4 linked regions of the Saccharomyces cerevisiae S288C genome follow. The gene in region 2 interacts genetically with the main gene of each other region. Each region holds a gene or a part of one and is shown on either strand. Other genes may lie near its edges. The genes, in order: MYO2, ARP1, BNI1 and TUB3.

Region 1 (9,145 bases), on a different chromosome or scaffold from region 2:
TCAACAAGGTTGCTGAACGTGGTGAAAGGCTAACATCCATTGAGGACAAAGCTGATAACTTGGCTATCTCCGCACAAGGATTCAAGAGAGGCGCCAACAGGGTCAGAAAGCAAATGTGGTGGAAAGATCTAAAAATGAGAATGTGTTTATTCTTAGTTGTTATTATTTTACTAGTGGTAATTATCGTTCCTATCGTCGTCCATTTCAGCTAACGCTCATCGGTTCCCGATGCTAATTCTAAAAAATATATACAGTAGTCATAATAGTAATAATAATATAATCATAATTTATAAATTCAGTAAGAAGCAAAATGTAGTTTAATATAGTGTACACTAATACGGCGCGCGGTTAATATCTTCCATAATATCGATTTCATTATCATACTATTGACAAATACTTCTATTATTAATTAACTATGTAGTTTCATTTTTTTTTTTCTCTTTTTTTGTCATTTCTTTTTTTAGCATTCATGTACAATTTTGTTTCTCGCGCCATCAGTTTTAGTGGCCGTCTTGAACGACTTGTTGGGCAACAAGGTCAACTATTCTCTTAGTTGAGGGCAAGGATAACCACGCTGGTATATAGGCTTCTACTTGGTCAAATTTTCTTGTCTTTATCAAACTGAATGGGTCAGTAAATGGACCTGTTTCTGGAGTGATAAATATACTGCTGCTATGCTCGTGACCCTTAGAATCATTACCTGATGAAGATAACGCAGCTTCTTTCTTAACTATATCAGCAACGTATCTTAAGATTTCCTGTGGAATTGGAGACTCATAGTCTGCCACCTGGTATTGTGAAATCAATTTTTGCAATTGTGCAGGTGTTAGCGAATAACAAATTCCTCTTAAGATATCAATGTCTTCGATAGTATACTTACGGACTTGCAGTAGCTTAGCGGTCTGAATCAAATGTTGTAAGCACTCAGTACCATCTGTCAAGCCATGCGTCTTGCACCATTCCTCTAATCTAGTAACGTTGTAGTTCAATTGAAGACCCCTTTTCCACGACAAGAAATTACGTTTCATGATTAATTCGTTAAAACAAATTGCATCCACATAATTCAATAAGGTTGTGACTACAGCATGGAACACTTCATTCTCAATATGAAAAGATTTCATGCACCAGTATATGCTGTTGAAAAAGGTCAAAATGTCGTCCATTGTATATTCTTCAGTGTTAGCAAAAATTTTGTTCAAAAACCCGCTGGTTTCTCCCGCGCTGAAACCTGGTAATGATTCGGAGATGACCACAGCATTGATGGCCTTTTTTTGCAATTGCTTCTGCAATTTCTTCAGCCAAATGTTATATATATTATAACTTAGAGCTTCGAAATCATCCTTTAGTTCTGTGACCAATGAAACATACTCCTTATACTCCTCATCGGTCATGCCGTTTTTGAACGTTTCTTCGGTTAAAATAGAGTTTAGAGCAAACACCACAAATGAGTATAACTCTCTAACGTTTGCTAACCAGAATACACCGCTTGGAATTAAATCGTTACCCTTCAATTGAGTGACAACTTTTTGAATTGTAGTCAATACTTGGGCAAGAAAGCTTTCACTTTGCTTGGTCAGCCCAAATCTCCACATTTCACTTAAAACTATAATCAGTATTCTAGCCGGATAAACAACGTCTCTTTTACTTAGTTGAATAGCTACACCAGCATCCGGTACTTCGAATCCCTTTAACAGGCCTTCCGTGATTTCTTGATTCAAAATTTCAGTGTCCTCCAATAACCTGTATAACTCTTCATTGATTTGTGTAGCATTGACACCATTTTCGCGATCGACACTCAATGAATCAATGTGGTTGTTTCCGGACGATGGAGTAGATCTAGACTTTAGATTCAAATCATTAGGAGATAAGTCGGAATTCTCAAGCATCATATTGTTGAAATTTGAAGCACCGCCTCCCATTACATCCTTTAATGGTGTTTGAGGTAGTACACTAGTAGTAACGGTGCCCAGCGACATGGCAGTTTGTAACCTAGCAATTTCTTCCTTTAAAGATTTAACTTCGTTTTGCAAGTCTCCGTTTAATGTCTGGTATTCAACCAATGTTTTCTTTGTTTGCTCTAATTCTTCAAGTTGCTTTTTAGATTCTTCTTTCAATTCATCATGTTGTTTAACCATGTCCTCCAACTCTAATTGAGCGTCCTTTAGAGTTTGTTCAGTGGATTGCAAATTGTTCTCAATAGTTTTTTGTAATTCCATATCCTTAGATTTCTGATTATCAATATCTATTAAGTGCTCTTTTTTCATATTTTCTAATGTCTCTTGTAACTTGGCACTTTCTTCCACTTGAACCTGTAGTTCTTTAATTCTTTCTGTCATTTCTTTATTTTCTTTGACCTTGGATGCTAGATTCTGCGTCAGTTCAATCACTTTATTCTCTAATTTATAGCTCACTTCTTTCAGATGATTAACTGATTTAGCGTCTGCCTTCAATTGTTTCAATTTCCTTTGAGCAGCTCTTCTTCTGATCAAAGATTGGACAACAACAGTGTCTTTTTTAGTGCGTAAAAATCTCGATCTCGGCTCAAAGGTCCTAACTTTACTTTGAATAGTTACCGCAGCATTATATTCATGTTCTTGTTTCAGTTGTCTTTGTTTTAGTTCCTTTCTAATTTTCTTTTGCAAATTTGTAATTGTTCTCAATACGCTGAACACATTGGCACGGATGGAATGACCCCTGTAAGCGGCCTGTAATAAAGTTGCACAGTTAACTTTCATTTCATCATTAACGCGTTGACGAATGATGAAACCTTTGATGTTGTTCTGCAAATACTTGATGGCCTGAGATATTTGCAAATACTGCTTACGGTAATATTTAGCTCTAATTTTCTTCTGGATCATAACAATTGAATTATGCATCTTATTGCTTCTAAGTTTTTCCAGATATGCAAGCATACCTGCTTTGAAGAAAATTTTTGTATTACCAATCTGGTACTTGGATTTGTCCTTTACAGTAGCATCTAGGATCATTTTAACCACTGATATGATATCTTCTTCTGTAGTTTCCTTTTTTTTGAAGATTAGGTCCCACTGCTCATGTGGTATCAAGATGTAATATCTTAATACAAATTCTTCAAAAGTCCACCTAGAAGGAAACCCAGCACAAGATATTCTAATAGTTTCCAAAACACCACAGGCTCTGAGTTGAGACAACACCATCAAATTATCAAATTGCCAAGCTTCTTTATCTGCATTAGGCTTTATACAACGAATATAATGAACATTAGTTGAGTTGATGGTATTCATTAGTTCAATCAAAGATTGCTTAAACATGGAACCTAAAGTGGGTTTCCTGTTAACCGTTCTTATCGGACCTGGCTTTTTACTGCCAGCCTGCTCTAATTCAAGCTTTTTCGCTTCTTCCAGTTTTTTGGCAGCTTTTTCTAATCCCTCTAAGATATTTATTAGTGTCTCGTTGGTAGAAGCCTTCAACACTTCCAAATGTCCGTCAGATACGGTGTCTCTATTTTTTTCAATAAATCCTTCCACATCATAAGCGACATCTAGAGCATAATGGCTCACGATAAATTTAGTTTGCCCGAATCTTGGTTTAGAAAATACTTTGTTCGTAGGAGATTTATCCAAAGTTTGATAAAGTTTTTGGGTCCAAGATTCGTCGGAACCAGCAGGTAACCTACTTTCTTCGTCAAGCAGTGATAAAATACCCAACTTGTTTTCAATCAGATCAATACAAGGTTGATTATCATTAAACTCTATAAAAGACCATTCAATTTCTTCTTTAACGTATTCTTCTTGCTCTAATTTGAAAACATGTTGGTTGAACTCTTGTTGTAGTTTTTCGTTGGCATAGTTAATACAAAATTGTTCAAATGAATTTTTTTCAAAATGTTCAAACCCATAAATATCCAGAACACCAATAAATGAGCTAATTTGGTCGTTCACAGCCGGGTTGCATAACACGGTGTTGATATTTTCCACAAGCCAATCGAAAAGGGCGGAATAAATAAACTTAGCCACGGAATCTTTGGCAACCAGAGCTTGACTATAATTTAGATTCGAAACAATTTTCTCTGACCTTGTAATGATCTGCTTTTTGGTGACCCATTTGGCAAAGTTGTAGGCATCAATTCCCAGCAATTCGCACGCCAGTTTCAGGTTTGGCTCATCAGCTGATAGTGATGCATCATTTCTAGTTTTTTTAATTTCTATGTTACCGATATGCAGAAGTGCGGCCAAGATCTTAAATATTTGGTGTTGAGTTTCCTTGGTGATTCCGACTAATGTCAATGCATCTACTGTAATTTTGTATTCTTTGGCATCATCAATACCGTTGATCTTGGTGTCACCGCCTTGGTTCATGTAGAAGTAATCTGAGGCATCGGTAAGATGCAATTCCTCCTTGGTTTGAGCTGGTAATCCAGCCATTAATTGATAAAATATGTGGTAGTTTCTCTCAATTGGCGGCTGGTAAACTAATCTGGACCGTTCCAACAAGTATGTGCGGATCCTTGCTCCAATAATAGATGTGTCCTTATCGAATAAAATTTCTAGATACTTACCAAATCTGGAAGAATTGTCATTTCTGGTAGTCTTAGCATTACCAAATGCTTCCATGATAGGGTTTGTAGCTAGAATCTTTTGTTCTGTTTCCGACATTTCCACTTGATGTTGTACAGTAGCGGAATTTTCCTCTTCTACAGAAGCAAAATAACGCATAATATACTTGGCAGAAACCGTTTTTCCAGCACCAGATTCACCACTTACCACAATGGTTTGATTTTGTTTGTCATTTTTCATCAACCTATACGCTTCTTCGGCAATGGCAAACAAGTGAGGTTCCAGTTCACCTCTGCGCTTTCCCGCATATGCTTGGATCATGTCTTGTGTATAAAGCTGGTCGACACGATCAAAAGGGTTTGTAGCAATCAGAACAATACCCGAGTATGTGTAGATATTCAATTGAGAATAGCGCTGTTTGATGGCATGTAAAACAGCTGGCTCATTCAAGTAAGATAAAGAGGTCAAATCTTCCGTTGCTTCCAAAATGGGAGGGTTTCTAAGAAGCGGTAGAGATTGGTCCTTATCGTTATTCAAGTCTTTTGTGTCCACGGACACGATTTCATCGTCTTCCAATTGTAACTCCAGGTGGTACTTGCCGTCGTTGAACTCATTTTTGATTACTTCCGCCCCAATCCAGCCCAATTCTTTATGGGGATACCAGCATCGTGTACCCACTTCAAAAGACATTATACGCTGTAATATCTGCTGTTTTTATGTCCTATATGTACAATGGTATAAGTATCGCTGTCCAATGGAATGGTGTCGAATAGTACCTTAGAAAACAAAAAACAAGCAAGCAGCCAGAAATCGAACGAATAATTTCAAGCGAGAAAAGTGAAATGACTTTGCGAGACTTTTTTGTTCTCTGATTGGCCTTGCAAAGTTGATAGATCTCTGAAACGCAGGCTACGAATCGTATCAAATGAAGGCGTGTTTGGGATTTCTGATATTTGGCTTTTCGAGAAGCGCGATCATAAACAAAAAAAAGGAAAAAATCACAAAATAGCCCTGGGTCGGGTAATAGTTTTTGCCCTACGTTTTCGTAAATGTGTCACTAGGTGCAATTGCCAATAATTAATTGTAACCTACTCAATATCTATTTTAGCCCTACATACGTTAGGGTCGAAAATCTGTTGGGGTTTTGGTTTTAACAGCGTAAACTAAACCAGATAAGCATCGAGAAACGGCGCTTGGCACATCGTATATCAACAAGACAAACCAGTGACCGGAGTTCTGAGGCGTCTTCGAGCCTATTTATTTATTGATCTGGGTCGGATAGTTCACCCTATTTGTGGAGGAAAAGACCTTCCCATATCTAAATTTTTTTTTTTTTTTGGTTTAAGTTATAGTTGATACATTAAGTGAAAATGAACTTGCTAATTGACCGGATGGAGAATCCCGGATCGAGGAACTGTACCCTGTTACCTCCTTCATTCCCAAGAGGCTTTTGTAAGGGAAGAAGGGCTTCCAGTGGCGACGCAGTGAAGATAAAAGAATCCGGTCTACAGCCGCAGCCGCAGCCGGAACCTCTACAAGCTAAAACAAATGTTGCACACTTTTCGAAATCATCTTCTAGATTACCTGTCATAGCAGTGAATGATAATCCGGTGGTCCCAAGACCAAGCACTGAAGTAAACTTGGGATCGTTGTTACAAAAGGAAAGGGAGAAAGAAAAGGAGGAACAGCCTGCGCTGCATGATAGGAGACATTTATATGTGACAAAGAATAGGGCACATGGGGTACGACAACGTTCATTGGAAATGACTAGCTTACCTGTCCTGGGATCGACCAAAACCGGGAAGTTTAGCGATTTTTTGTTTGAAGATGACATCGATAACAGAGTAGGTCGACACAGTAGATCATATAGTGGGGCATCCAGTTTGGATGATCCATTCAGAGTGTCGCCGAAAACCGACTTCAACTCTAATAGGGCCAGATTGTCTTGCCTTAGTAAAGGACGTCGTGGTTCGATGTCCGTTTTCCAAAGCTGTCATACTGGGCTAGCTTTCAATCAAATACAGGGTTCCTCCTCTTCGCAACGTAGATCATCCGCTGGTTCTTTTGATTATGAGAGGAAACGATTGGTTAACCAATTTTTACAGCCTTCTTTGGGAAATTCAGACCCATTTGATACGTTGAGGGAGTCGGTAGTGTTTGAGCCCTCATCCACCGCTGGCGGCATTAAATTAGGGAATATGCATTCTCAATCACAAATTTCCGTAAACTCCTCCCCCAGCACATCTTTGTTTTATCATGATTTGGACGGTTCTGCTGTCAACGATTCTTCGTCATTTCTGTATTCCCGTTCTAATGTACCAGCATTTTTGTCGTCATCAGCCTTTTCGTCCACGTCATCCACCTCATCAGATTCAGAAGATGTGGATAGAAGAAGTTTAAACGGTGTATATCCCTCTTTAGGATATTTGACTAACCAGAGGAAACCAAGGAATTCATCAGGCTCTTCCACTGCACCTGGCACCGATACCTTGGGATTTAAGTATTTACTGAATAGGCAGAAGTCAGCGGATTCTTCCACTAGGTTCAAGAGTGTACTGAAGGTGAACAATAATAATGGCTCCGCAGCCACTCCTGATTCTAGCTCAAACTCTATTTCGAAGAGCAACTCAAATTTGAATGATAACATTGATGAATTGAATTATTATCAAAATCATATTTCGACACTTCTAGTGAAGATCGAGAATGAGATGAGAAGAAATTTAAACGATACAATAATCAAGAATGAAAACAACGTTCAAAAAACTATCCAAAAGTATGATCTTCTATCAGGAGAGTTAACCCTTTTATTAGACGAAATGACCACCTTGCGAACCACGGTGATTAATCAATTCTTGGTCAAGTTGAAATCAGACTTTGACGAGGATGACAATAAGGCGTTTATTAATGAATTAAAGATATCAGTCGAAGAAAGTGTAGCGCAATTACAAGGATTGGAAAGGAGAATGGAGGTTTGCCAAGAGAGATTAAATAAACAAAAGTCCTCTCTAAGGGAAATGGATAGTTTGATAGAGCTGAAAAACGTGTTAAATAAATCGAAGAACAACACGAAATCCATCTACCTGTATAGGTATTTCATCATTGACATTATTGCATTTCTTTTGATGGGCGGCTTTATCGTTTACGTCAAGAATTTGTTAACTCGTTTTTTTACTCGTTAAAAAGTCAAAACAAGGTCACTTTACAAAAATGGTACGCGTACAAAGATAAAATCACCTCTGAACATAATAATATACATCTATATACATATATATATATATATATATCACACATCAATCAACGCGCATGGACATTTGAATCAATGGGGCAGGAAAGGCGATGCAGTGGCCAAATTTCTTTGTTCATTTGTGGCGTTGGGTCAATGAGTCAAAAAATGAAAAAAGTCGACAGACGTTTTTCAAAAAGCTTCAAGAAAAGAAGAGAAAAAGTAAAAGCGTATTGGTAAAAAGAGTAAGAACAAAAAGGAGCACAGGCAACCAATATAAAGATGTCCAGTTCACAACAAATAGCCAAAAATGCCCGTAAAGCAGGGAATATTTTGAAAACCATCTCAAACGAGGGCAGATCAGATATTTTATACAAAATTCACGATGCCCTGAAGGCTAATGCGCATGCCATTGAAGAAGCGAATAAAATCGATTTAGCTGTTGCCAAAGAGACTGGCCTAGCGGATTCTTTATTGAAACGTCTCGACCTATTTAAAGGGGACAAATTTGAAGTTATGTTACAAGGTATTAAGGATGTAGCCGAACTAGAAGACCCTGTTGGCAAGGTTAAAATGGCCAGGGAATTAGATGATGGCTTGACGTTGTACCAAGTAACCGCTCCAGTCGGCGTTTTGTTAGTTATCTTTGAATCCCGTCCAGAAGTTATTGCCAATATTACCGCATTGAGTATCAAGTCTGGTAATGCTGCAATTTTGAAGGGTGGTAAAGAGTCTGTGAACACGTTCAGAGAAATGGCAAAGATCGTTAACGACACCATTGCACAATTCCAAAGTGAGACTGGTGTTCCTGTGGGCTCTGTGCAATTGATCGAAACCAGACAGGATGTTTCCGACTTGTTGGATCAAGATGAGTACATCGACTTAGTTGTTCCTCGTGGTTCCAATGCCTTAGTCAGAAAAATCAAGGACACTACAAAAATTCCCGTGTTGGGTCATGCGGATGGTATCTGCTCAATTTACTTGGATGAAGACGCAGATTTGATTAAGGCAAAAAGAATTAGTTTGGATGCAAAGACTAACTACCCAGCTGGTTGCAACGCTATGGAAACGTTGTTGATTAACCCAAAATTCTCTAAGTGGTGGGAAGTTCTGGAAAACTTAACTTTGGAAGGCGGAGTGACTATCCACGCTACAAAAGATTTGAAAACTGCGTATTTTGATAAACTGAATGAGTTAGGGAAATTGACAGAAGCAATTCAATGCAAAACCGTTGATGCTGATGAGGAGCAAGATTTTGATAAGGAATTTTTATCCTTGGATTTGGCTGCCAAGTTTGTTACATCTACAGAATCGGCCATTCAACATATAAATACACACTCTTCGAGACATACCGACGCTATTGTAACGGAAAATAAAGCAAACGCTG
Region 2 (5,725 bases):
AAAAATGTTCTGGAAAACATTTCTCAGGTGCAGATAGCTCAAATTAGGGTTAGAGACCTGCCTTCAGGATCTGCCACCGCTAAGGTCCGTCTGGCATATCCTACAACACAGTCTTTGGAGAAGGTAAGAAAACTGTTCCATGGCGCTCTAGTTGATGGAAGGCGCATCCAAGTGGTGATTGCATCTGATGAATCGTCCCACTTGTCGTATTAGAGTTTGTCAACGACACTCACAAGGTATTTAATCAGCAAAATCCCCGCCACAAACTATTTTTTTGAAGACATGCTTTCTCATGACTGCCTAATAACAATACCTCATTCTACTAGTAATCGACCTATGTAATTATTTCATAAACTATAAAGCAGGTCATTGCAATAACAGAAAGGCCGGTTTTTCTATAAGCTTATCTCATCGCATAAAAAATCGACAGTTGTAATTATCTCCGGCGGACTTTTCCCTTTCCGTCTTTTTTTTCAAAATTTTTTTTTTTTTCACTTCTTCTTTCAAAGCTGCCTCAAAAGAGATATATATATTGGTAAGAATCCTCTTCCAATACTAGCTTCATTTCTTCTTGAACCATGAACCCGTTATTCTTTTTGGCTTCTCCATTCTTGTACCTTACATATCTTATATATTATCCAAACAAAGGGTCTTTCGTTAGCAAACCTAGAAATCTGCAAAAAATGTCTTCGGAACCATTTAAGAACGTCTACTTGCTACCTCAAACAAACCAATTGCTGGGTTTGTACACCATCATCAGAAATAAGAATACAACTAGACCTGATTTCATTTTCTACTCCGATAGAATCATCAGATTGTTGGTTGAAGAAGGTTTGAACCATCTACCTGTGCAAAAGCAAATTGTGGAAACTGACACCAACGAAAACTTCGAAGGTGTCTCATTCATGGGTAAAATCTGTGGTGTTTCCATTGTCAGAGCTGGTGAATCGATGGAGCAAGGATTAAGAGACTGTTGTAGGTCTGTGCGTATCGGTAAAATTTTAATTCAAAGGGACGAGGAGACTGCTTTACCAAAGTTATTCTACGAAAAATTACCAGAGGATATATCTGAAAGGTATGTCTTCCTATTAGACCCAATGCTGGCCACCGGTGGTAGTGCTATCATGGCTACAGAAGTCTTGATTAAGAGAGGTGTTAAGCCAGAGAGAATTTACTTCTTAAACCTAATCTGTAGTAAGGAAGGGATTGAAAAATACCATGCCGCCTTCCCAGAGGTCAGAATTGTTACTGGTGCCCTCGACAGAGGTCTAGATGAAAACAAGTATCTAGTTCCAGGGTTGGGTGACTTTGGTGACAGATACTACTGTGTTTAAATAAATCACACCCGAACACCATCTTGAAGGTTCAGAACGGCTGAAGCCGCATATCAACTTTTGGTTTCTACTGTTTTAAATTTCCTTTCTCGTTTTAAACCTTTGTTGCCGTCTCTTCTACTATCAATTTTGTTGTTCATGCATGTTTAATTACCTTTTTTTGTAAAAATAATATAAACGTATCAATGGCTATTTATAACAAATATGCTTGAAAAATCTAACGACTCTGTTTCTTACATTAGGTTCGAATAAACACGGGTACTGTCCTCTAGCCAATCTGACTTTTTGGTCCAAAGTCTTTGAAAGGTAGATAACCCCGTTAAAATAGAACCACCAATCCATGTAGTATATTTTCTTTCTGAAGGGGCTATAATCTTTATCTTGGATGTTCCTTTGGTTAATGCCTCCAAATCCCATAGCATTCGGTCTCCAAAGCCTTTAAGCGTTGTAGTTCCGCCACTTAGGATTATCGATGACAGTAAAGGTTTCCTTAAATCCAGATCGACTTTCCAAATAGATTGCATGCACATATCAGATAATCCATCGTACCCTAAGCCGATGATTTGAGGTGAAAATAATATTTCTGGAGCACGATATCGATCATTCCCCACCTCTATACACCTCCCGTCGGGCAATTTGAATGTCGAGATTAAATCTTGAGTACCTTGTAAGTATTTCTCCTCTTCCTTTTTAATATTCTTGGCCAAATAACAAACTTTCTCTTTCATCGTGCGAACAATCTCTCGTTCACTGCTGGAAAACAACGAAACACCAGCTGATTTCCGTAGTTGAAATTGTAACTGCTCTGTGATATCTGCTCCTCCAATATCCATCCTCATCATAGACGCAGGTAATGCAAAGCCGTCATATATGGGAACAGTGCTACAGTATCCTTCACCACAGTCAACTACACAACCTGTAGTTCTCCCACTAGCATATAATGACAGAACAGCAGGGTTTGAAACGTACAAAGCCGATACGTCAAAGGTCTCGAACAATACTTGAGCCATCTGCTCTCTATTCTTCAAAGGATTCATCGGGGCTTCCGTAATTAATAAAGGATGCTCACCTATATTTTGCAACTGTAGGACTTCATTTAACACATATGACCATATTAGTTCCATAGAATCCCAATCTTCCACCACGCCGTGCTTTATGGGGTATCGTAATTTTAATAATCCACGCAGTTTTTGGGCATTGTTTCCAATAAATGTATCTCCTTGCAGACCTTCGAGCATAACTTTATCATATTTGGTATTTCCTACGAGACAATATTCCAGTGCTTTAGGCCTTTCCTCACCACTAAATCCTGCTTTTATGATCCCAGAACCATTGTCGATCACTACCGGTTGATTGTACAAAGCATAGCTGTCACTTAGCTGGTCCATTGGCTAACTTTCTTTCTAATTCCTCAATTCGTGGTATAGCATTAGCATGTACTCCTTGGTCTATGCCCTTTTATTAATTTGCTGTTTTATTGGGAATATCTGCTATTTGCTTCGCTATTATTCAATAAAGGTGTTTATCATTATTGATGTGCATCGCGAAAATGGCCACTTTGGAAATGAACTTTTTCTTGAAAAGATTAATACAAACGGAAAAAGAGAAGGCAATAGGAAACTCACCGTCACACAGGTGTACTGTGTCCTTTGCTTTGAGCTCTTGTTCAGAACATTATGCTACTTAGCATTCTTTTATGAGCTTTTTTCTGTAGTCTTATTATAGGTTGATGAAAGCGTTACCTTCAAGAAATGATTTTTAACGTGGTATAATAAACACTGTTTATCATGGTAAAACAGGTATTTCTTTTATTCTTTGGAATTACCAGACGATACCCATTCAAAATTCAACTTCTAATCAAACGTTGATCAATAAATACTGTATTATGTTGCTTGTTTGAAATTAGAGGCATTGCCTTTGTTAAATTGAAATATAAACTGGAAAAATGAAGCGAAAATAAAGTACTGTCTATAAACAAAAACCTTAAAATGATTAATGTTAACCTTTCTGAGCAACGAAGCAATCCATACGTATTGAAAGCTTTAGCTCTTGGAGTACGGTGTCGAGAAATCGAAGTAAGACCTAGTAGAAAATCATTAGTTTGTATAGACTAGTCAATGACAAAGTAATAGTTGAAAACAATACTGTCTTAGTTCGCAACCATTTATATATATTTAAACTTATTTTTTACAGCCCTTGCTAATTCCTGATGCCAAGTAACGAGGGGCAAATCATCTGAGTATATACGTACATATACATCAATGATGCCAATCGGAAATGCTTTAACATTTCTGAAGAATTCTTTAAAAGGTTACTATTTTTACTCAATTCGAGAAAATGCAAAATATAATTACCCACTTTTATGTAAACATCGGTGTCAAAATCGTGAAATATACCGAATGATAATGTTGAAAAGAAACTCAAGTGCAAAAGAAAAAACACGATCCAAAGTGTATAGAATGAAATAAAAAAGAAATAGAAAAACTCCTCATCATGTAGCATATATCCGATGATAATATATATACTTTTAGTCATGATATTAATTCTGCAAAAACAAGATTACTGCATCACAGCTTATGCAGTAATCTGTCCATCATCATCGTCATCGTCGTCGTCATCATCATCATCATCATCATCGTCGTCGTCTTCGTCGTCGTCATCATCATCATCATCGTCGTCGTCGTCATCATCATCCTCACCATCATCACCGTCACCGTCGTCCTCCCCATGATCTTCAGCGTCCTTTGTTGTTCCAACAATTGCATTCTTATTTTTACAATTAAGTTCTATCAACGCCGTAGGTCCCACGATGAAGCCTTTTAAAAAATGATTCTTCTGCTTCTGTAAGCTCTGGCGGTTGCTAAAGTGAATTTTATTACTTGTTTCAAAGGTTGGTCCCGAAACTGGAATATAGATAACCTTACCCAAACAGTCGTTACTATCTAGAAATGGTTTGATGCACTTCAGAGAATCCCTCAAATAACGCCTTCTTGAAATTTCCTTAATAGCTGGTTTCCATTTAATATCATCCGTTCCGTAAGGTATATTGGAGAAGCAACTTAGAGTAGAAGATGCTCGCCTTCGATTTCTTATTCGTTCTTCAATTAAACATGAATAATCACTTTCACTGCCATAAGCATAACCAATATTACTGTCATCAGTATCATCATTAGTATCATCGCCAGCATATTCATCGGTTTCACCGTCATTTTCGTCCTCATCGGTCTCAGTAGCGCTTTCATCGTCATTGATTTCAGCGTCACGGTTTGTGAGACATAACGACCTACTGCTTTGGGATAAATCTGTGGCGGATTCCCCATTAGGAGCTAATCCTGATAGGTATATCGAAGAGCTTTGAGGTTTAGGTCTAATAGATGCCTCATCCCTTTCATTGGCTACCAAATTCGACGCAACACTCCGTAATTCCTCTTTCATAACCGCATTTTGTGATTGCAGCATAATCTCGCAGCCATCAACGGAAAGATGCTCAATAGGAGAGGGTGAATGAACTGATTCACCCACTGTGCTATTTGGAAATTTGATGGGGACAACCTCCTCGCTAATTGCACGCCTCAATGACTGTCTTTGGGGCATGGAAATAGCTCTATTTCTGTGCATTGGACGCTCTACTTTAATGGTGGTATTTACTGGAACACCAGGCTCTGGATGATCTCCCCCGCTTGATTCATGGTGTTCATCATCTTCTTCCGTTTCAATAACACTATTTAAGTTACTTGAGTTGGACCTGAGTCTGTGAAGCTTTTCTGTGCGTGAAGAATTTTTAGGCCTGAAAAAGTTCTTAATTTTAAATTTTAAACTTCTAGATGCAATCGAACGGGAAGCTGAGCAACCAGATAATGACCTTGTTGATCCCAGGGTACTGTTATCACTGGATTCTCCTGATGCAGCCGAAGATATCAATGCCTCTGTAGGCGTCTTTGAGAGGCCAGTGCAGTAATGATCTAGTAGACCAGCTGTGAAAGTATTCGAGCGTTCCCTGATAGTTGTATTGTTATTAGTGCTAGACCCGGTACTATATCTTTGGATTAAGTCCGGTCTGGAATTCGAACGAATGAATCTCTGCGAAAAAGACCCCATCGAACTCTCACTTCTATGAGTGTGTCTTCTTCTCCTCCTTCTCCTCCTTCTCCTTCTCCTTCTTCTGGGAACAATTCGATAATCTGGATACTCCCTGACTTCCAAGTCCAAAGACACAGATATCCCGATTGATAGGTACATAGACCAGTCAATCATATCATCTATATGAGAGAACCGTAATAAAAACTGTTCGCTTTCACAAGACATTCTTAACACAAAACTCTTCTTGGTATAATCCGTTGGTATCCCAAATCTTGCATTTTGTAAAGTGAAAGACTTGTAAAGAGCTTCAT
Region 3 (10,007 bases), on a different chromosome or scaffold from region 2:
CTCAGCGTTTTCAAATTCAGTCTGATCAATTGCGCTTTCTTCTCTAAATTGCTCTTCTAAATCATCCAAATCTTGGAGTAACTTCTTCTTTTGTATCTTGCGTTGAGGAGCCTTTTTCTTTATTATAGAACGACCTTTTTTATCTCCGCAATCGCTGTTTTCTTCATTATTATTTGCCGACTTAATGCTACTTTTGTCATCTTTCGTTACCGTGTCATCACCTTCACCGTTGTCTATACTCTCTGGTGAACTAGAATCTGCGCTACTTGTAGTAGAATCTGCTAGAGAAGATTCATCTTCTGATGAACTATCTGCGGTTGAATTATCTGTGGAAGACCCATCTGAAGAGGATTCATCACTTGAAGATTCACCCGTAATTTCATTTTCCATATCTCCACTTTCAAAGTCAAAAGCGTCGCTCTTTTGACTTTCTTCTGCGCTAGATGAAGAAAAAGGTCTTTTTGCGTCCTGCTTCCAAAGAGCTTTGTCCTGCAAGCGAACCGATATAGCATCGTTTTGATCCTCATCGCTGTCATCCTCAACTAACGGTCCAATTTTTGAAGAAATTGAATCATCCACTGCCCATATGCCAATATGAGTCCAATGAAGTATACAACGCAATTTACACAATTGCAGCCATGCTCTTTGAATATTAGTGGTAGGTTGTCCTGGCTTTGCATTTGTTTCAGAAGAAAAAATCTCCATCTTTGGCTTATTTTTTGTTGAAGAATTGATACCAAGTCCTGCCATAAAACTTAAACGTTTGGTTTTTTTGTCTTGAGAAGAAACCCTGCCGTCTCTTTTGGTATGCTTCGTTACTTCAGAGAATTTTTCCAAATCTTCCTTGGTAATGTTCTGCGTCGTTAGCTTTTCTAAATGCCATGCGCCTACCTTCAATGATCTCAGGAAAGCAAAGATTTCACATGTCTGCCGCAACTTTAGCAAACACCAATGACACAAGGGATACGTATTCGTAACTTGTTCTTTACCGTCGTCAGTCTTGTGCAACGTTTTCAATATATACATCCTTGCGTGTTCGATAATGTCATCTCTAGATTCTCCACAAAAGGAACATGCGGCGTGCACTGCAACTGGAGGTGAATCTAAGGGAAACTTGAACATTTTTGGCATATTCGAAGTGGCTTGCTTTGCAGGGCTACTTGAGTTGTAGCCAATTTGGTAGGTTGCATTAACGCCGCTTAGGGGTTCCACGACCACCAAACCATCTATAATCAAGGAAAGTAGGGTTTTTTTAACCAACCAGCCGATGCCTGAAGCATTATCAATCTTAAGTATAGGCTGGATTTCATCATTTACCAATCTTCGTATTAACTTTGATTCGGTTGAAGTTGCCTTTATGTTTTCACAACGGGGTAGTGCAGCGACAAATTTTAGAAATTCATTGTAAAGGCTTATATCATAACGAATAGATGAAATGCTTGGCGAGTACACAATTCCGCTATAAATATCTTGGGAAGCAAGAGAATATGAAGTTGGAACTTTATTCAAAGAAGTGCTAGAAGAAGTTGCTGAATCACTCAATATTGTGGAATATCTGTTCGAATTATTTGTGACTGTGCTTTCATTATCTAAACTATGCATCACTTTTTTCAGATTCTTGAGCTGTAGGGTCAAAGTATCCAGTAATGTGTCCTTTTCACGCAGTTGTTCAGTGAGTCTCTTATTTAAGATTTCGATAGCATATTTCTCCTTTCTAGCATCAGCAACCATATTATTAGCCTCATCAAAGAGGGAAGCAGTCAGATCCTCAACTTCTTTATTTAGTTTATCCGCTTCCTCTTCAGCTTTAGTTCGAAGCTCATTTTCTTTGGCTATATCTTCACGCAATCTTTTCACTTCGTCATCTCTGTCTGACAATTCTCTTTTTAAAGTGTTGTAATCTTCTTTCAACTGATTATAGTTTTCAATTGCTGCCTTCTGGCTGGCTATTGTTTTTAAGGATTTATTAAGCTGTTCTTCTAAGTGTGACTGTTTATCCACGCTCTCGATCAATTGCGTAGACAGGGATGTAACCTGTATTGATACTCTTTTTGCTTCCTCAGAAGCATCCATATTGAAACCTTTATCAAACACAGCTAGTAAAGGAAAATATATCCCAGTGAACTAAAGGTCAAAATTTTCTACAACTTTTGGATGGAAATCAACGTTGCTACAGCTGCAAGTGACAAATGATATTATTGCACGAATCACTGTGCTTGTCACTTAGGTAAACGAGAGCCATGTTTTAAAGGTGCTTCAGCGAACGCGAAATACAAGTTCCGGGTAGTCACATGGAAACAATGGCACATAATAAAAGGAATTATTTCAAAAATGCAATAGTAGAGATCATTTGAGTAAAGATGAATGTAAAGTGTATCATAAGTGATCTATAAACATTAAAATTATATATATATATGTGATTTAATGATTCGTGACTATTTCTTTGTACTAGTGCTTGTTTGGATGTTTGTTTTGGTATTACTGTTGTCATAATTTTTTGGTTTAATATTTTATTTGAAACTTAGCCTGTTACCTGTGCTAGCCTCACCTATGGATCTTTCCTTGCGGGCCCTCAATTTTTCTAGATGTTCATCGAGTATGGAATTTTGCTTTACTGGTGTGTCAGAGCCTCTTAGCTCCTTTAATAACATTCTAGCTCTGTCACTAATTTCCTCTTGATCTTCCAGCGCAGATGTCTTGGATGGCGATGGTAAATCTTCAGAGGTATTCATAACACCCCTTGTGGCAAGCGGAGTGGGTGATTCAGCGTGAATCACTGTATCGGCAGTAGGGTCCATAGCTTCTGGAGAATAAAGAATAGACCCTTCTTCAGTATCCAAATCGTTGAGTAATTGTGGAGCGTTGTCTTTTTCAGAAAGATATTTTTTCCTCACTAGGGCTCTCTTTCTGGCGGAAGATGGGTCACTTTTAGCAGGACCTGCATTTTTCAACTGTTCTAATAGTTTATCCATAACAGCGCGCCTATCTTCTGCTTCATCCTCTTCATTTCCTTCAGATGAAGGCGAATTGCTGTTCTCTTTTTGTTTTTCCTTTTCTTGTGCCCTTTTTTGCTGTTCTTCCACTATTTTCTTATGCTTTATATAAAGTCTTTCTTCTTCTTCCGCGGCTAGATTTTGCGCTTGAGCTTTTTTGTATTCATTTATAAAATCTGCAAATTTCTTAAAGAATGAGATTTTTGCAAACTTATCACCAGAATCTTCACCGTACGTATGCATCAGACTTTCAAATTCCATGATAGTCAGCTTAACTTCGTCTTCTAACAAGTCCCCCTTTTTTCTGGCTTCCGGTAACACGGGCAATGTTTTTATCAAAACTTTATCTAATGGATGAAACTTTGAGGAATCGCTTAAATTACCAATTTCAACTGAACGCTCTACGTTTACAATCGATTGGCTAAAGTCCTTACAGTCGTTAACTAACTGCTCAATGGAAACTTTCACGACATCCAATACAGGTTCTAATTCACTTAGAAAGTCATTGAAGCTTGGATAATTTAACCTGACAATTTTTTCGACGTAATTTAGAAAGGTCATGCTATTGGTAGTATCCTTGATAAACGTCAACCTCTGCAAGGTTGAAAGTTTGAAACCTTGTGCCTGCTTAGAAGTGTCGTTCATGAAATTACCAACTGCTAAGATAACATTAAAGACATTGCGCAAGTTATCTGATTCTTGAAGCGCGCTAACAGCTTTGTCGACTTTTCTTAACTTTGCCAATAACTCATTATATTCTCTTTCATACGAAGTAACCACTGTGAGAGCTCTCATACGTGAACCCCAGTATGATTCTAGATTAACCATCAATTGCAAATAAATTTGGTCAGCCCTCTGTAAATCGTTTGGATCTTTTTCAGGGGGCTTGGCATCTTCGAGATTCCTCACGCCCTCCCAGTCTGTCGAATACGGGGCGTAATTCCTAGCTAAATTAACAGAAACTTCAATTATTTCAGATTTTGACAAAAACTCAACAACACTCGGTGTTTGCAAAAAATCCCTATCGCAGTTTAGAATCTTTTTCACCAGATCGGCAACCGAAAGTGATGAATACATATGCAAATTGATACCAAACTGTTGAGAAATATCCCTGGATAAAAATGTAATTTTCTGCAGATCTTCCTTGCGCTTGCTTGCTAATGATTTAATTTCCCTAGCGGCAAAGGCCTTTTCTAAATCAGCAAGAACACCCTTTTCGTATAAGTCATCTGCGAACTTCTCAGCTTTACCTGTACCCCAAATAGAATTATCAGTACAATCTAATTTTTCCCAATGCAGTTGCTTTAATTTCTTGTGTGGACGAGGATACTTTTCAAATAATGAGGGCGATTGAGGAAGTAATGGTGATGTTACAGCTGATTTGATTTGCGATGCCGGCATCATAGGTGGAGCTGGCGGAATGACGCCATCAGTAGATGAAGATAATACAGATGGTAGCGGCGGCGGTGGTGGTGTTTCTCCCTTGGGTTTGCCGAACAATGCCATGGGTGGAGGAGGAGGTGGTGGTGGTGGAGGGGGAGGAGCAGGAGAATCCCCAGTAGTTTCTTGCTTGACAGTGTCGTCTTCCGACTTTTTCTCTTTCTCCAACGATTCACCGAACAATTTGGCGGGAACTGGAGGAGGAGGAGGAGGAGGCGGTGGCGGCTGTGAGGAGAGTACAGATGATTGAGTAGAGAGATCTTCTGCGCCATCTGTATTATTCAGTTTACTCACAGCGCTGAAATCCGCTGTTTTATCTTCTTCATGATTTACCACACGCCCTTGCTTTCCGTTTTCCACATGTTGTCTCATGTCTTTCTCAGCTTTGTCAAAGGCGGAAGCTGCACTTGCCGTGCTGTTTTCCGGTAAAGATTTTTTATCTAGACCTTCATCTTCATTTTGTTCATATGGTTCAACTTTATTTACCTTCTGTGTTAACTCCTCTAAATATGGAGCAGAAGACACGGTGGATTTTCTGAGTCTGTTCATAAAGGTCTTTTCAACTTTACTATGTAGAGGTCCAATACCCGAACCGTTATTGTTCTCTCCAAAAGCAGCCGATGCAGTAACATTTTGACCAGTACCATATTTTTGAGATAAGGCATCGAGAAAAGACCCAGGACCTGATCCTGAAGATAGCTCTGAGTGTTCGCTCCTTAGTTCTTGAGTTGGAGATGCGTCTTGGTATATTTCCTCACTTTCATCATCAGAACTTGAAGAGGAAAGATCGCTTTCCCCATCTTCTTCTACTTGTATTTCGTGTTCGGTTTGAGTCTGAATATCTAACAACTGGTCCGTTATTCTATTAATCTCGTCTAACTTTTTCTGATATGTCTTAGGGTCAAGACTGGCATAGTTAGCGTCTTCTTCCGTTTCCACGTCCCCAGTATTTTTCTTTGGACTGTCCATAATCTCGTCGACATTAAAGTCAATACCAAATCCTTTGTATTTTGTTTCTAGTTCTTTCAGTCTCTTTAAAGCCAGAGATTTCTTTTCATTAAATAGCTCATTAACACGTTCTTCGACGTTAAATTTGGAAATATCATTACTTTCCATTTGGATTTCAGCCAAAGCCCGCCTTAGGTCATTTAGTTTATTTACGTCCGCCTCTTGAGGCTTGACTAAAGGTTTCCTATCCTTATTTTTCATCTTCTTCACTTTGGGCTTCTTAATATGTATTGGAGGTTCAAGACGATCTTTCTCAAATTCAGCAAAATTTGTCATCTCTAGTTGCCTGGCTTCATTTTCAATATTTTCCATTTGCATTCTTAACATTTTTAATCTCTTATTAGGTTGAAGTGTCATGCCGAATTTTTTTGAATCATCCTTGTAATCCTTTTTTGCTCTTGATAATCCGTCCTGTAACACCTTTTGGATATTCGCTTTCTCTGAAGAATTTAGGCTCGAGTTCATACCTCTGGTGCCTTCATTCTTATTGAAGCTTTCTTCAGGCCTCGAATTCAATATAGTCAACATTTTTCTCAATTCTACCTCTTGCTGATGCTTTTCCAAAAGATGCTTCTTTTTCAACTCTTCTAACTCAGCTTCCAGCTGCTGCATAACTCTCTGATTCTTAGCTAAAATACGATCTCTCTCATGCAACTCATCTTCTAACTGTCCAACGAGTCCGTGCTCCGCCTTGCTTAACTTTTCACTTAAAGAATCCCTTTCTGCCTGAATTTCTTCCAATTTCTTCGTTAGAGCTCTACTTTCTAATATAGCTCGACGTGCAACTTCATCAGTCTGCATGGCATCGTAAAGCCGCTGGATAGCCATATTCATATTAGTTTCTTCATCAGAAGTTGAGGCAACACTAACATTAGTCACCAAAGAATCCATAAGTTTCAATTGCTTAGTAAGTTTAGAGGAATTTTGGTTTTCTTCTATTAACTTTGAACTAGAAAGGAAAAGATGTTGAACTAAAGATACTAAAAGCTTTTCATTCTCGGTACCTTTACATATATCCCAAAGGTTTTTTAATAATGATAGTGGATCGTGTAAATCTACATTAAAAGCCTTATTGTTGGCCTCTAATTTAACGTTAAAATCGTCAAGTTTATTATTGTCATATAACTCAATTTGGTCAATTACCTTGTCGTAATCTAGCAGTTTTATTTTGTTCATAATTCGTAAAATTCCACAATTTTCTAGTTTCGTCCTTAATAGCATTCTTTGATTTATGTTATCAGAGCAAGAGCATAAATGATTGATAAAAACCATTGTCCATTGGCAGTATTCTAGAATCGCATTTTCACCCCCACCATTTTTAAATTCATCCGACGCGCCTACTAAGGAACCCATTTTTCCTCTTCCATCTAAAGTTTGTTCAACGGCAAATAACCAGGCTTGAATAATTTTCAAATGACTTTCCAAGGTTAAATGAGAGAAATACTGGGGCATTTTTTTGAAGTTTTGAATCATATGAAGATTTTGCCCTATCCTAAACTTTTTATCTAGTGAGGTAAGAACTGCTTCGAATCTGCTTTTATTTTTTTTTTCTAGCATACAAACAAAAATTTCAGTGGCCATTTTCCTTGTGGCCAGTTTCGTAGAGAATAAACCTTCTGCAACAGTATCAGTCATTAACCTATGTGTACTGAACTCATACAAACCTTGTGAGAGCATTGATAAGACTCTGAAGCATTTAAAAAATGAATTTTCTTTCTCTAATAATTCTTTAGTCAAGTTTTCTCGGGGTGCAGTCTTATAAATAGAGTTCATTAGTACATTAGCCATAGCAATGTGACCCTGATGGTCTATAAAAGCGTCTACCCAGTCTAACTGTTCAGTTCTTAAAGTTACCCATAAATCTTTCATCTCATCGCTAGTAAGTTTGTCTGCCAGGATTCGTTGCACATAATGTATCGGTGGTCTGTTTGTTCTGTCTCCTGGAAGAGTAGATGCACTCGTATTGTTCTCAGCCCCACCTCTATAAATATTGTTTAGAGATGGCTGCTTTTTCAAACTCCCGCTCACTAATTTTTTCCCCTTCGAGGTTGACGTACCTACCGATGAAAGAGTAGTAGAATGATTTAAACTGTTGCTGTATACAGTTGAGGTGGGAGAAGAGGCGCTTGTCATCAAAACAGATTTGGGAGACGAAAGAGATGAATTAGCCGTAAGGATAGGATGATGGTCCGACGCCATCGAAGTTCTGGAGGCAGTGGAAGAAGATGTAGTGTTTGCTCGCATTTTTTTTAGCTCATTTTGTAAATCCTGCTTAACAATCAGCCATTTCTTCTCAATGCTGTAGCCCATCAGAGCTTCTTGTTTGTCCTCTGATAAAGACTGAAAAATATTTCTTTTATACATAATATCTTCAAACAAAACTTCCACCTCGTATGGGTCCGACGGCATTTCTAAATAAATTTTACCATCGGGTGTAGTGAATTTGCTCAAGTTAGTTAGCGAACCTTGAGAGAGAAGACTTGATGCGGAGTGACTTTGCCCGGTATGCTGCCTTGTTAGCTTATTGGACGCCTGTGAAGAATTCCTCTTGGAATACGAATATTTCGATTGCATTGAATGCGACCTTGCGTGCTGTGAGGATACGGGAACATCTCCACTTAATTTACCATTCATATATTGAGACAAGTTTTGTGTGTTTAATGTCGATTTTTTATTCAACGGCCTCGCCTCAGTAGATGTAGACCTAGAAGGTGCATTCAGTTTTCTAAAAGATGACGAAGATGCAGGTGAAGTGGACACTTCGTTTCCCACTGGAGAGTGCTGTTGTTGGGATGCATAGGTCGGAGAACCCGTATTGCTATTCGTTGCATTTGAGTTAGCCAAACGCTTCAAATTTTGGAATATACCAGAACTCGAATTCGAATGACTTTCCTTTGAGTTCGAATGTTTGGAGCCTGAATTCTTCAACATTTCCTTTCCTTCTCTTCCTTTCTTGCTTCTCGTTTGTTGAAAAGGTTCAGGTGCCTTCTTTATGTGGCGTGTATTTAGAATTTAACTAGGCTTGAGTTAAAATGTTTCTCCTCAATACAGAAGATAGATACAAATGGCAAAAAAAAAAGTAAAAAATGGCCCAACTGTATGAGACGTATAAAAAACGTGAAGGGTGAAGAAAAGAATGCCACTGTCCAATTTTATGCTTAATACGAAAATAATTAACACACAGCCGTCAGTGTCCTCTTATCTGTAGGAAGGGTCCGTGCTATTGTTCTTAAAAGGGATTCTAGTTTTCCACATCTGTTTTTTCTTTCTTTCCCTCTTCCACGTCAAAAACTTCCTCTAACCGATGTCGGGTAAGCCATGGAAATTACGGGCGATGACTTTCGGCGGCTAACAACGAAACAACTAGGGAGTAATCATATAATCACAGGAAAAGAGTTGAGCAAGGATTTGGCAAATATACATATACATACATACATACATACATACATATATATGTGTGTGTGTGGTATGGAGTATTATTCTAAAATTATGAAAGGACATCCCAAACTCGTTGCCACCTTGTTTTACATTCTGGCTCTATCCATACCAACTCCTCTATTTGCCGGCGGTCAGAATCGATATCGATATCCTGCAGCTTCCAGAGTAAGCGGCACTTAAACCAAACTTGGAATGATAACCATATGGCCAAAAATAGGAATATTGATATATATGCAGCGACAAAGTCTATAGGCTGAAAAGTAGGTGCGAAAGCGGTGAAGCCCTGGATCAGAACAATTAGAGCGATGAAAAAAGATGCATAATATGCCAAAAAAGGCATCATTTGAGCTTTATAAGGTAAGTCATCCCTCGATATACCACGTTTCCTTATGGCTTGCATGAAACGGATATGAGAAAATGAAATCAAAAGCCAGGCAAAGAAACCGGCCACACCAGTTATGTTCAATAACCAGTTAAAGGCCTTGCCGCTGCCTGCAGAAACCTCTAAGAAAGCCAAAAATCCGAACACGGATGTAGATAGAACAGAAAAGTATGGAACACCACCTCTGGTCACGTTAGACAAGAACCTTGGCGCCAAGCTATTTTTAGACAGACTATACAGTACTCTTGAGCCAATGTACACATTAGAGTTACCTGCGGAAAGAATGGTGATTAGCACGACCGCGTTAAATATATCTGGGAGAACTTTTGTGCCTGAATTCTCAATGCTTATCATAAAGGGCGATGAAGAGACAAATATACCGTCACTATCCAACTTTGGGTCATTATATGGGACCAAAAGGCCAATGAAAAATAGTGAAAGAATGTAAAAGACTAGAATCCTCACTACAACTTTCTTTATTGCCCTCGGGAGAGCTTTTCTTGGGTTAGCCGCTTCACCAGCGGTTATCCCAACCAGTTCAGTACCTTGGTACGTAAATGCAGCATTAATCAAAGAGGAAACCCATCCGAGAAAACGGCCCTCATTTTTATCACTGGAGATAATGCCAGGCCCCCAGGCTCCTGGATTTCTCCAGTACCTGAAACCGATGGGTCCATCAGATTGTCCCGCACCACACACAACACAGAATGAGAAAATGATAAAACCGAGCAACGCGATGACCTTTA
Region 4 (5,092 bases), on a different chromosome or scaffold from region 2:
ATGAAGAGAATGGGTAAACTCCACAGGATTTTCAATTCACCAGACATATACGTGGTGATTGCAACACCAACAACGAATAGCGCGGCAGGAATATAGATCCCGTGGACAGGTTCGTCTAGAATGTTAGTTCCTTCTATGTCTTCTTTTGACATTTTCTTCACGCGGTTCTTGGAGTGCTTCCTTTTTTGTGATAAGTTTGGGTGGCAACGAGATGAGCTCAAAACTCTTTGTTTTTTATGGGTATTTTTGTCTTAGAATATTTTCAAATTTTTCAATATTCCGCGGAACATAGGGAAAAAAATAAATTTAATAAGCTATTGTTCTAACTGTACACCTAAAGGTAAGTGAAAAATAATTCGATAATTAGAGGTATCTTTATTTGGATAGAATATGCATATATATATATAAGCGTATATATATATATATATATATATGTATATACATATGGACATTAAGTAAATATAAATCTATAAGTGGGTATCGGGATCAGAGCCACTTTCTTAGAACTCCTCAGCGTAAGAATCGGCACCCACTTCAATATAATCTCTTTCTAAGGCAGCTAAATCTTCTCTAGCTTCGGTGAACTCACCTTCTTCCATACCTTCACCGACATACCAATGGACGAAAGCACGTTTGGCATACATCAGGTCGAATTTCTGATCGATTCTCTTCCAAGCGTCCGCGATGGCAGTGGTGTTGGATAGCATGCAGACAGCTCTATCCACATTGGCTAATTCGGAACTTGGTATCACACTTGGTGGCTCATAACAAATACCAATCTTAAATCCTGTTGGACACCAATCCACCATTTGTACTGTTTTTTTATTCTTCACCTGTTCGACGGCTCTTTGGACATCTCTGGTCACCACGTCACCTCTGTATAACAAACAGTTAGCCATGTACTTCCCCTTTGTTGGGTCACACTTAACCATTTGATTGCCCGGTTCGAAACAAGCGTTTGTGATTTCTGACACGGAGTTGGATTCATGGGTGGCCCTCTTCTTGGACAAGATGGGTGCGTAGGAAACCAAAGGGAAATGAATTCTTGGATATGGTACCAAGTTGGTCTGAAATTCGTTCAAATCCACGTTTAATGAACCATCGAACCTCAAAGAGGCTGTAACAGATGATATCACTTGGGCAATCAACCCGTTCAAGTTGCTGAAGCTTGGTCTAGAAATTCCCAAGTTCCTCTTGCATATATCGTAAATGGCTTCGTTATCGACCATAAACGTACAGTCTGCGTGTTCCAGGGTGGTATGCGTGGTTAAAACCGTGTTGTAAGGTTCCACGACGGAAGTAGACAATTGAGGCGCAGGATAAACGGCGAATTCCAATTTGGATTTCTTCCCGTATTCATACGATAAGTTTTCTAATAACAGGGAACCTAAACCGGAACCAGTTCCACCACCGAGGGAGTGGGTGAACAAGAACCCTTGTAAACCGTCACATTGGTCGGCCATCTTTCTAATTCTTTCTTCAACTTCATCCACTATTTCTCTACCCACTGTATAATGGCCTCTTGCGTAGTTATTGGCGGCATCTTCCTTACCGTTAATCAATTGTTCTGGATGGAAAAGCTCCTTGAAACGTCCTGTACGTACTTCATCGATAACATTGGGCTCTAAATCCACGTAGATTGCTCTTGGGACGAATTTTCCGTACCCCGTTTCATGGAAGAATGTAGAAAATCCTTCTTCACCTCCCTTAGGTTTTGACAAGCCATCCTCCAAATGGCCGTCTTCCTTGATGCCATGCTCTAGGGAGTACAATTCCCAGCATGCATTACCTATTTGACAACCTGCTTGACCAACTGTTGTAAAAAAGAAAAATAACAAAAGTTCCAGCAATCCTCCGAAGAAGAAGACACAAAAATCACTCCCCATGTAATGAGGTCAATTATGAGCTTTTTCGTCCGAGTATGCCCAGAAAAAATGGAGAAAAAGAAACTGTTAGTAAACTGTGCTGGTACAAGTCAAATTATTTGCCGTAAATCAACCAGATGGTGACCAATTGGGAATGAATCAAACCAGATCAGATCAAACTTCTTTCCCTGTCCCACAGGTGCCATTGGTTGCGAATATTGAACAAAAAAAGGAACGCATACATACCATTAATACTAATGACCTCTCTCATTGTCTCAAGTCGCTTGCTTAGTCGATTAATGTACTTTATGAGATACCTGATCTGTGTTTATATTTCTTTTAGATGTGCAATTTGTAAAACGTTTCGTGGTTTCCAGAGGCTCGAGAAATGATATGTCGGGTAACGTCTGGAACTAAAAAAGAAAGGACGATATGCTCTGCTCTGGCACCAGCCAACAGGATGGCAGAGAGATGTGAGGAAATAATGAAATTAAAAGAAATTATCGAATAAATATGTAACCTGACAGTATTTATAGATTATGTAAGGGGTTTGATAATAAGTTTATAAAAATGTTTTTGTATTATTTGTTCTAGTTTACAAGTTTTAGTGCATCTTTGAGGCTTTTATGCTTCATGTTGAAGTTGAGATGGGCTGGAAGATTCAATGTCATTATTCTTGTTTCTGAAGTTTAGCGTAGCAGGATCGATTTCATCGTGGTATAGCTCGTTAATTTCTTCTAGAGTCTTTCTCTTAGTTTCTGGGATCAACAAGGTTGTGAAGATACCCAACAACATGAATAAGGCGAAAATTTCCATGACGTGAGGTAACCAACAGTTGGTTGGCTTACCGTCTCTAGCACAGTTATGGTCGATTAGAGTACCCAAAGCGGTTTGTGCAATAATGGCACCGACCTTACCAGATGCAGCAGAAATACCATGAGCAGTAGATCTGTAACGAGTTGGGAAACACTCACCAGGAACAATAAAGGTGGTTGTGTTTGGACCGAAGTTTTGGAAGAATTGACAAATGACGTAAAGAGCCAACAGACCATGGTCACCAAGTTTATGGTATGCGAAACCGATGACACAGAACAAAGCGGTCAAGATGATGAAACCGGCTAATTGAATTGGTTTTCTACCGATTATATCGACAGTGAAGACGGATACCCAGTAACCAGGTAATGAACCAGCACAAATCAAAATCAGATTACCGACAGCAGTATCATACAGTTTCTTGTAAACGTTTTTGGAACCGGCATAACCGATGGTTTGCAGAATAACAGCACTGTTTAAACTCAACCCGTAGAAAGCAACATCTAAGGTAAACCATGAACCAGCAGTACCTAGCAAAATCTTACCGTACTTCCATTGACCAAAATGTCTGCAGAAATCTTTGAACGAAGCCTTTGGAGGATGATTGTCAAGAGATTCGACGGCAGTAGAAGCTCTTTCCAAACCGTTAATTGCCATGTCTTCATCACTGGTGTCGTGAATTTTCTTTTCGCCATCTTGTTCTTGTGCGGCAGCAGCAAGTTCCAACTTAGCGTTAACATCCAATTGATATCTAGGAGATTCTGGAATAGTTAATCTGAAATACAAACATGCCAACCCTAGAACGGTACCCAACCCAATAAGGATTCTCCACATTTGGTCACAAGCCTTTTGACATCTAGCATCACATTCAGCACCAGAGTTTGCGTATTCTAGTTCGCCCTTGTAAGCAGCAACCAAGATAAGAGCGATGATACCACCGGAGATTTGACCCCAAGCTTGGTTAGCAAAGACAGCACCCATGATGGCACCTCTCCATTTGGTAGTGGCAAATTCAGAAGTAATAATAGAAGATAGTGGGTAGTCACCACCGATACCAATACCCATGACAATACGGTAGAATGTTAAAACAGCAACGAAGTTAATAGCAGGAGAATGAGCAACAGTGGTTTGCAGAATGGTACAGACAATCATGATAATAAGTTCCATACCATAAATTCTCTTACGACCAACAATATCAGCTAAAGTACCAAAACCAAATTGACCAATAACAGTACCAACAGAAGTGGAAACCTTCAACAAGGTTTGACTTGGACCTGGCATACTACCGTGCCAGTAAACGTAGGACATCATAGTGATACCCAAATTAATGGCAAAAATATCATAAGAATCTGTCAAGAAACCAACACCAGCAATGGAGATGGTCTTAACTTGTTGCCAACCGAAACCTTCGTCATCGATGGACTCCAAAGCCAATCTTCTTCTTTCCAGAGGATCTTCAATATGAGCAAAATCATTCAAATGGTTGTGGAAGGCCATGTTACCACCTTCGGTAAGGTGTTCTTTATGAAGACTTCTTTCAGCAACATGAATAGTATCTTTATTGACGGAACTCATTTGGATTGTATTCGTGGAGTTTTGTTTGTTGTGTGCCCTGGTGATCTACGAGATGAGGAAAGATAAAATTTAGAAGTGAACTTAGAACTTTACTTTATACAAGAGATGAGGATGAGCTTATATATATACGTATACGAGCCACAATAGTAAGTGGATCTAAGTTGGCATTACCGGTGTGCAATGTGGTTGCATCATGCTGCCAAAAAGGAATAATAATTAGCTCATAGATGAGGTCGGTTAATTAATGAGTAATACGCACGTTTTTAATCTAGCTAATAAGCAGGCAAAACGGGAGAAGAGGGATAAGGAAAGCCTTTCACACGACATTTGGTGCATAACTGCACCGATCTCACTGATTTCGATGGACTGCGGCGAACCATAATCAATTGCCGTCGCTAATTTCCGCCCCACGTGCTGGAAATAACACGTCCACGTGGAACTATTAAATTGGCATCGGGCGGTGCGGCAGTGAGAGGAACGGGTGTTTTTCAGCCGGGCAACATTTTCTTCATAGCCGCTAGATGAGTTGAAAGGGCCCTTACGAGCAAATGCTGCACGTATAGGGCGCCTATAACAGCACCAACGTGCGTAATACTGATTGCTGTCATTTCTTGGCATGTTTTCTTGGTCAAGGTCTGTGATCTCCCCTTCCGGTTGTGTCTTTTCATAATAATATGGTTTTTTTATTCATAATTTGGTAATAACGGTTGATAAACGAGCGGCTGATAAATTAGTTTCTTTTTTTTTTTAATTTTTTTTTTTTTTGATCTCATTTCTTTTTTTATTGAATCTTTTTTTTTTTGTAAGAAAATTAAGGTTTATTAGGCAGAGTATACCGA

Evidence for each region.
Region 1: mutations in ARP1 (region 2) and MYO2 together harm fitness more than expected from each alone (negative genetic interaction), as found in Saccharomyces cerevisiae (4 studies listed by BioGRID, with this or other methods).
Region 3: mutations in ARP1 (region 2) and BNI1 are lethal when combined (synthetic lethality), as found in Saccharomyces cerevisiae (7 studies listed by BioGRID, with this or other methods).
Region 4: mutations in ARP1 (region 2) and TUB3 together harm fitness more than expected from each alone (negative genetic interaction), as found in Saccharomyces cerevisiae (4 studies listed by BioGRID, with this or other methods).

The regions. Positions count from the first base shown.
Region 1 is NC_001147.6:921,801-930,945, reverse strand, and holds MYO2 (myosin 2), read right to left. Parts: upstream 5,226-9,145; coding exon 501-5,225; downstream 1-500. Other genes in the region: SNAP receptor SNC2, read left to right, coding at 1-212; FRT1 (Frt1p), read left to right, coding at 5,906-7,714; PRO2 (glutamate-5-semialdehyde dehydrogenase), read left to right, coding at 8,041-9,145. UniProt on the Saccharomyces cerevisiae protein: Myosin heavy chain that is required for the cell cycle-regulated transport of various organelles and proteins for their segregation.
Region 2 is NC_001140.6:361,432-367,156, forward strand, and holds ARP1 (actin-related protein 1), read right to left. Parts: upstream 2,723-5,725; coding exon 1,568-2,722; downstream 1-1,567. Other genes in the region: YHR127W (uncharacterized protein), read left to right, coding at 1-213; FUR1 (uracil phosphoribosyltransferase), read left to right, coding at 684-1,334; YHR130C (uncharacterized protein), read right to left, coding at 3,534-3,869; YHR131C (uncharacterized protein), read right to left, coding at 3,909-5,725. UniProt on the Saccharomyces cerevisiae protein: Core component of the dynactin complex which assists cytoplasmic dynein by increasing its processivity and by regulation of its cargo binding.
Region 3 is NC_001146.8:127,012-137,018, forward strand, and holds BNI1 (formin BNI1), read right to left. Parts: upstream 8,373-10,007; coding exon 2,511-8,372; downstream 1-2,510. Other genes in the region: guanine nucleotide exchange factor SEC2, read right to left, coding at 1-2,073; arginine permease ALP1, read right to left, coding at 8,929-10,007. UniProt on the Saccharomyces cerevisiae protein: Required for the assembly of F-actin structures, such as actin cables and stress fibers. Nucleates actin filaments. Binds to the barbed end of the actin filament and acts as a leaky capper, slowing both polymerization and depolymerization.
Region 4 is NC_001145.3:21,548-26,639, forward strand, and holds TUB3 (alpha-tubulin TUB3), read right to left. Parts: upstream 2,137-5,092; coding exon 2,112-2,136; exon of another isoform or gene 2,017-2,111; intron 1,814-2,016; coding exon 501-1,813; downstream 1-500. Other genes in the region: PGA3 (cytochrome-b5 reductase), read right to left, coding at 1-152; phosphate transporter PHO84, read right to left, coding at 2,490-4,253; YML122C (uncharacterized protein), read right to left, coding at 4,491-4,871. UniProt on the Saccharomyces cerevisiae protein: Tubulin is the major constituent of microtubules, a cylinder consisting of laterally associated linear protofilaments composed of alpha- and beta-tubulin heterodimers.